Linked DNA regions of Bombyx mori. The protein of the gene in region 1 interacts with the protein of each later gene in a pairwise test. Links are inferred from orthologs where the notes say so. Each region holds a gene or a part of one and is shown in the gene's direction. Other genes may lie near its edges. The genes, in order: cyclin-dependent kinase 14 and cyclin-Y-like protein 1.

Region 1 (3,840 bases):
GTTAAAGTAGTAAAGAATGTGTAAACAACTTCATTGGTCAAGTATTCGATAAGAACTTGAAACGAATTAATCAGACTACAAAACATTTGCGTGCCTGTGTAAGTTTCACACATGCAATACATCATTTAAAACAAAATAATTGGCGTAAACTTTTAATTATGCACTGAATAAATTTCAAACGAACGAAATAGTAATTATGATATGTATTTATTAACTTATTAAACGAATTTCATTCTTGAACTGACCTGTTTAAAGTTTAAATCAAATTGTCGAAACTCGCTGCGGTTTCACAGAGTGAGGTCAGGTCGAGTGGACGATTTTACCGTTCACTTTTCGAGAATTTTGTATTTCAATTACTTCATCCACTTTGGCTTTACCGGTAATTATGGTTCAGATGCATTCTTTGAAACTTTAGAGGTAAATGATTTATATATTACGTTGTTACGACTAAGACATTTTTTACTTTCAAATACTTTTACTTTACGAATATGTGTTACGAATATCTGTAAGATTTATATATCGAATGCGAGACATTTGTCGGTCGTGATTCAGAGAGGAAACTTGATGAATCTCGCCTTGTTTAATGAACGGTTGTATTGATGGCACGAACGATAGCTATCAATTACCGTCATTACGAATTGTCCGTATATAATATTGTTACAAAATTGTAGCAGAAACTGATGGTATATTTGCAAAAAATTTATGAACAAAACGTGTATCGATCGCTCTAATTTGTTTTTGTTTATTTGATTTTATATTTGTTCGTTCGAGTATCACGCACAACGATTGGATTTTGATATTTGTGAAACACTTTACTTCTGCAAGTCAATAATAATAATTATTAATAATTTATAATAATAATAATCATTATTATTTCAAAAGTCATCGTAGATAAAAGAATCAGGTCCCAGGTTTACTAGGTTTACCGGATTTTCATTTTTGTGAAACACTTTACTTCTGCTAGTCAATAAAAATAATTATTTTTAATAATTTATAATAATTATTATTATTTCAAAAGGCATCGTGGCCAAAAATTCAAGGTACCAGGTTTACTCGTATCAAGCGAAAACCTCTAGAAGTTGCGTCATTAAACCGATTCCGGCAATTTCACTTCAAGGTTTTCCCCAAGCGCGATGCTTAACGATTTTAAACCCAAACTAAAAACGCATCGATTGATTCTGAATATTTAAGTTTAGCTATTTGCTTATACAATAAATTGATATTTGTCTTCGTGTTCAGGCATAAGGGAAATATTTAGCAGGAAAAAAATACACTGTAAACTATAAATAGCTAGAACATCGCGAATGTCAAAATCATAACGCACGCTATTAAATTAATTCATTTGAATAATATTAGCCTAGAATTTAAAATTATGCAACAACATTCATGACTGCTCTCAGCTATTAGCTATTAACAATGCTACTGATAACGATGACAAATTAATGATACATCATCTCAAAACAAAAAGACAATAATGGTTAATGAGCCAGCAATGGAAATTAAACTTGATACAGGCAACCCGCATCGCGCAGTTACATTGACCTAGCGTGTCATCTGGTTTTTATTTGTGGTACATTGCTGCTATTTTACAAGTCAGTAATAATAAACATTTTAGTTCCTGTCATGGTTGCGTTAGTTACCGAAACCAGATCCCTTACTATAAGTGTACTTACTAATAAATGAACGAATCTAGACAATAAATATTCTGTATCGAGTTGATTTAAGTTTCGGAGCGACAATCTATCTTCGAGAAGTGTAAGTGGTGATAGTAATAATGAATCACTCGCTTCGGTTTGCCTTTTACGTTACACAACTTTCGATTTCAACGTGACAAATCCAATTTTCATTGATTCAACATCAAGATGAGAAACCCTAATTTCTTTTTAAAACAATTATAGCTTATGATTTTATGAAGAAAAAAAAAACACAGACACGGTTATTAAACAGGTAACGTTTTTTGTCAACAGTTTAACGCAACAAGTGGTAGCACTCAAAGAGATCAGACTGCAGGAGGAGGAAGGCGCGCCCTTCACCGCGATAAGGGAAGCCTCGCTCCTCAAAGAGTTGAAACACGCGAACATAGTCACGTTACACGATATAGTTCACACTAGGGAGACCCTGACGTTCGTCTTCGAGTTTGTGGTGAGTTAACAGGAACTTTTAATAACACACCTGTGCTGCGATTGGCCATAACAACAGATAATCTAGAAGACTGGTTCTCGTGTTACTGTGTATTAAAATTGAAGACATGAGTGGATGAAGGGGATATGATACGATTTGTTAATTTTGAGAAAACTGGCAACAAACTTTTGTTAGGTACTTGTACTTTTTCGTACGTAACTCCTTCATCACATGCAATTTCTGAAAATAGCCTTTAAACTAGGAGTTTTAAGGTCTAATATGGTTTTTAAGCACATAATACCTTCATTCCATGTAAAGCCTCAAAAATCTTAAAAATGGTACTTAACCCCCTCATCCACTCATGTCTTCAATTACAGGATGTCTGTTTTTAATTCTGGTGGAAAATTCTCTAGGATTTTTTTCCTAAATTGCAACAAATGTACTGATGGGAGTTTGCTGTACTGATGGGATGGACTGTCCATAGGATGATGCAGTACTAATAATTAAGTTGAAATTAAAATAAATTCTATATAGATCATCACATGTGATATTTGGAAATATTGATATGAAAATTTGGTGGAAAGGAATTTAATTCATTTCACAATGTCCGTGAAATAGGAGTGGGTAATATCGGTTTTGCCGCGTATCGAATCGTATCTATATATCGAGGATCAATATCGGATATTGAATCTATATATTTTCTGAATCTATATATTGATGGATGCTAGTAGATTTTCTCGATTCATGATATTTGAGATTTGAAACGATACGCTGATATAATATCGTAGTAGATATAGATTTAAGTCAACGTTACACGGTTGGTTTTCTGATATCAATTTATAATATGATCTTAAAGTAATAAAAAGAACATGAAAATAAAAATATCAAAAAAACTTTCCTTCATGCTTTTACCAGGCTTAGGACTGGCTACATTATTTTCAGTTTTTAGTATTTTGTGTCTTAATTTAAAATTACAAAATATACCAAAAGAGTGTAGATTTCAAAAGTTTAATACAAACACAAGAAATAAACTCAATTATTTGGATTCAACTAAAAATAGAAAAATGTGTACTTTAAAAATCAAACACAAAAAACTTTTAAGTATTTATAAACACTTGTCCAAAAATTCTAGTTCAAGGTCAAAGCGCGTGAAATTAAATTCAACGATGCAAATAGGCTATACTGCATTCAAGTTAGGGTCGAAAGTTGAAACTTCTTTCCTTAATTGTATCCTGCTGATACGCTAAGAATAATCTACAGACATATGGACTTAAATATAAGGTTTACAATTGTATGGATAATGCCTGTTTCTGTTTCATTCATCACATGATATCCCTATCGTGCGCTCACTCACTCTGGCCGATTCGATACGAACCAAACGAATATTGCTGATATTAACGAATCGGTACGATATGCCGATGCGCATCACATCGAGCAATATCGTGTATCGGCCGATATCGAAATATAGATTTCGATTCACGAATCGGTCCGATATGCCGATGCGCATCACATCGAGCAATATCGTGTATCGGCCGATATCGAAATATAGATTTCGATTCACGAATCGGTCCGATATGGCGATGCGCATCACATCGAGCAATAACGTGTATCGGCTGATATCGATATATAGATTTTGTGCGGGGCGATATCGGATTCAACGATATTGCTGCGATATATAGATATTGAATCTATATACGATTTATATCACCCACTCCTACC
Region 2 (4,352 bases), on another chromosome or scaffold:
ATTGATCTTCTTTCTTCTTCGAACATAAAGACTTTTTATTCAATTATTGCTTATTGAGAAGTAGGATCTGATAGTAATTAGCTGGTAACTAATTATGATGTAGTAAAATGCATGCAACTGTCCACTTGAAGACAGTGTACTGAGGCAAAAGAAGAGAAAAACATTGTAAAACGTTGTAGGAATAATAATAGCATCAACCTTCGCAGTCTTACTATACACTTAATTAAATATAGGAAACTACTATCTCAGAGGTGGTTGAGGCAAAGCTTTTAATAAATAAATAGATCCATATCAAAGCTCAGGCCTTGGGGTTCCATGATCAATGGAACCCTCCATTAGTAAACTGTAAACAAAGTGCGAACGTCTTTAACTTTGTTACACATCATGTAACAAAATTCATCAATGTATTGTGTTTTGTTATACAATTCCTTCATCGTGGAAGTCGTTTGTGTGCACACGTCCTTACGGATCCATCAGATCTAATAAATCTTGCATTAGACGCCTTCAGCTCTAAAACGATGGATTATGGATGGATTCTAGTAACCGTACTCCTTGAACTTTGTGCTGTAGAGAGTTCAACGTGCAACCTTGCTCAAACATTAACCCACTGAAGCTTTCGCCAGATCTTTTCAGTGGGTCACGATTCCATTCCGGTACAAGATTCATTCGCGAAGCAGCCGCCCTTGAGTAGTTAGTTACGTCTCCTCATGAGACGGTCGGGCAGCTGTTAGCAAATCTCATCCATTCTAGCTGAGCCCATGCTCGCCCACCTGTCCTGGTGAAACTGGAATGTCCTCCAGGCATAAATAATCCTTTATTAAAAAAAACCCAGTTTTAAATATTTGATACTTGTAACCAGTCTCTGAGAAAAATAGTTAGTAATTTTCGGATAGACATACAGTTAGGTAAATGATCCTAAAAGGTTTTTTCCTTTGAAATTGGTACCTTATATATCTACTTTGTCATTTAATTTTTACTTTCGCGGTACTAAACATTTGCTTTAGCAAAACAATTTAGGTAGGAAGAAGTTTATTGTCATATAAATTTTAAGCTCAAATTTATTTGTTGGAAAATAATTTTAATACACAATCGATGCTAATTAAATAAAAACAAAGTCATTGACAGAAGGAAATAATACCAAATCAAATTAAACATTATATAATATATATTTAATTAAAATTATATATAATATTTAAGTGAAACTTCTAATGCGACTTCAAACAAGGTTGCGTTAAACGTTTAACGCTACCTTACTAGAAAGAGGCAGATCCCACGAGTTAAAAAGAATTACAAGTTTCAAGTTGTAATGCAGCTCCGGTAACCATAGGTGACTCGTGAGCTTCGTCTCCACAAACAACACCTAATAATCCATACATGTTTGTACTATGAGATCATGATTTGGTTTTCCGGCTCAAAAAAGATAGAAAGTTAATAAATGTAGATTTAATGACATTAAATATCTCCGAAATATTATTTTATGTAACATCATTGTAGGTGTTTATAAAAAAATAAAAAAGGTGTTTATATAATCATTACTATGTATAGTCCTATTTCTACTTATATTACTTGTTTCTGGCCATTGTAAAATTAAAATCAATCATGGCGATTCTTATGAAAATCGAATTATCGGTTACGTCAATCCTTACTGTGTGTCTACGCCTTAGTGATTACGGAAAATGCTCCCTCACTAATTGTCAAAAAAATCATGAATGAATGCAATGAATTCTAAAATTTCTACAATTTGTGAATCAGAAAATTCCACAAATCAAGAATGATAAGGTATAATACGACACAGACTGTTCTTGATTAATAGATTATATTCAACACCGACAAAAGTATCATAAATCGTAACTCAACATTCATCTGTGCCTTTTGTTTCAGGTACTATGGGCCTTTTATGTCTTATTTCTGTGTCGGCTTATTATTTCCGTATATCTAGTCGTGACACAATGTGTGTAGAATGATAACGAACATTCTTTATAATCGTCATATGTTGTAAAATCATGGGTAATCAAAATAGTTGCTGCTGCTATCGGAGTCCATCTCCCATTCGCAAAGATATAGTAAAGTTGGAAGACTATCTTCCAGAAGGAGAAGTAAGCTCAAATAACATACAACACATCAGCGAGAGGGAGCCTGATGATGGCGACATCGATCCATCGCAAGATCCGATGGCTGGCACCATTTTCATGGAACGTTCTAAAGCTTCAATAGAGAATGGTATGACTAGGAAGCGGAGCCAACATCAAATAGCTGACAATAAATTAAAGAAAAGCAGTTCCTGTTCTACAATTTACTTAGATGATAGTACTGTGTCTCAACCAAATTTGAAAAACACTGTGAGGTGTGTAGCACTTGCTATTTACTATCACATAAAGAATAGAATGTCTGAGCGCAGGTTAGATATTTTTGATGAGAAACTTCATCCTTTGAGCAAAGAAGGTGTGAGTGATGACTATGATAAATACAATCCAGAGCATAAGCAGATTTATAAATTTGTAAGAACATTATTTAATGCAGCACAATTAACTGCAGAATGTGCTATTATTACTCTAGTCTATTTAGAGAGACTTCTAATTTGTGCTGAACTTGATATTGCACCTTCAAATTGGAAAAGAATTGTATTAGGGGCAATCTTATTAGCGAGTAAGGTATGGGACGATCAAGCAGTTTGGAATGTTGACTACTGTCAAATTCTAAAAGATATAACTGTTGAAGATATGAATGAGCTTGAACGACAATTTCTAGAAATGTTACAATTCAATATCAATGTTCCATCGAGTGTCTATGCTAAATACTATTTTGATCTACGTACACTTGCTGAAGCTAATGACCTAGCATTTCCTAGTGAGCCTCTTAGCAAGGAAAGGGCACAAAAGTTAGAAGCGATGTCACGAGTTATGGAAGACAAAATAACTGCTGAAATTGTAAAAAATGGTATTAAGAAATGGTCAAGTTTAGACAATGTTAATGCTGGTGCTGGAGTAAGACGAAGTGTAGCCATTTTGTCTTAATTCATGTTGGAGCCAAATTTATTTCCAAAGTAGTAAAAAAATTGACCAAGTTATGATTTTAAATAATAACAGAGGACACCAACTTTTGCCTTCTACAGTGAGATAACATTTTACATATAGAATAAACATTCAAACCACAAGTAAGTTTATGTTAAATGAAAAATCTCACATTTCATAAAAAAGGATCATTATTTTGTTACTTTATTTCAAGAGTAAGTGTAAAATTATCCATACAAAATTTTAATGATTGTACATAAAATTATTTTTCAATTAAAATGATGGTTATCTTAAGTATTATTATTAAATTGCAATTAATAGAATTGAAAGACTAGTAAGTGGTCCAATATTATTTTATGTTATTTAAAAATACAATTAAATGAAACATACTTTATATTGGCTTCCAATTTTGTGTTTAATTTAAATTTTCTTATGTTAAGTTTCTTCCATACTTATTGATATGCTATTTTGTAGTTTTTAGATTTTATAGTATGTGCAAGTGCATTTTGACTGACATAATGATCTTTTGATTGTGGTATGGATGTATTGTAGTCTTTATTGTCAATTTTATTACATTGTCATACAGCATTTAAATATATCTGAACTGAATATTAATAATGCCAAATTATTTTAGATAACAACTATTTGTGTGATCATTATTCATATTTAAAAATGTGTTAATTTATGAACAAAACAATTATTGAAACAGGAAGTTTTGAATCTGCTGTTTCGTATTTATTTATAAAATATATGTGTATTAAAAATTCAATTATACAATCCATACTTTATGTATCTTTCAATAAAACATTTTATATGAGACTTAGTGGTATTAATTACTACAGTACACACAAGTACTGTACTGTTTAATATCCTGTTTCTGTTATTAAACTTCTTATAATACAGTTGTTGCTATAACAAAATGAATATTAAAAAACAACATGAGATTATATTTACTAATTTTTATTCACTTACATATAACAATAATACAACTCATAAAAACCTTAAAAAAAATCCATATTACAGCTTATTCAGTATATCAGATCTTATGATCTTATGATAATGGTTTCAAATCTTTCAAATAAGCACTATAGTTCTCAAATACATCTATAACATCACTTTTTTTGTTAATCTGTCCATCAAATTCTGGCCCAACAGACCATAAGGTTTCTAGATCATACATTTTTCTTGTGCTATCTGAAAATATATGTAGTGCAATGTTGCCTGAAAAGACAGTTTTAATTAGTTATTTTAAAAACTATTAACTTTGTAAGTTTTATGCATTATAAAATATGATCTTACAACATATACTAGTTCAGATAAATCTATTAAGACCAAATGAAA

What was found.
Region 2: the proteins of cyclin-dependent kinase 14 (region 1) and cyclin-Y-like protein 1 interact in a two-hybrid assay, tested with the Drosophila melanogaster proteins (2 studies listed by BioGRID). The link is inferred for Bombyx mori from reciprocal best matches to the Drosophila melanogaster genes Eip63E and CycY.

The regions. Positions count from the first base shown.
Region 1 is NC_085117.1:9,225,716-9,229,555, reverse strand, and holds part of cyclin-dependent kinase 14, read left to right. Parts: intron 1-1,967; coding exon 1,968-2,142; intron 2,143-3,840.
Region 2 is NC_085110.1:6,232,169-6,236,520, reverse strand, and holds cyclin-Y-like protein 1, read left to right. Parts: upstream 1-1,569; 5' UTR 1,570-1,779; intron 1,780-1,881; 5' UTR 1,882-2,003; coding exon 2,004-3,014; 3' UTR 3,015-3,830; downstream 3,831-4,352. Other genes in the region: uncharacterized protein LOC101741971, read right to left, coding at 4,063-4,232.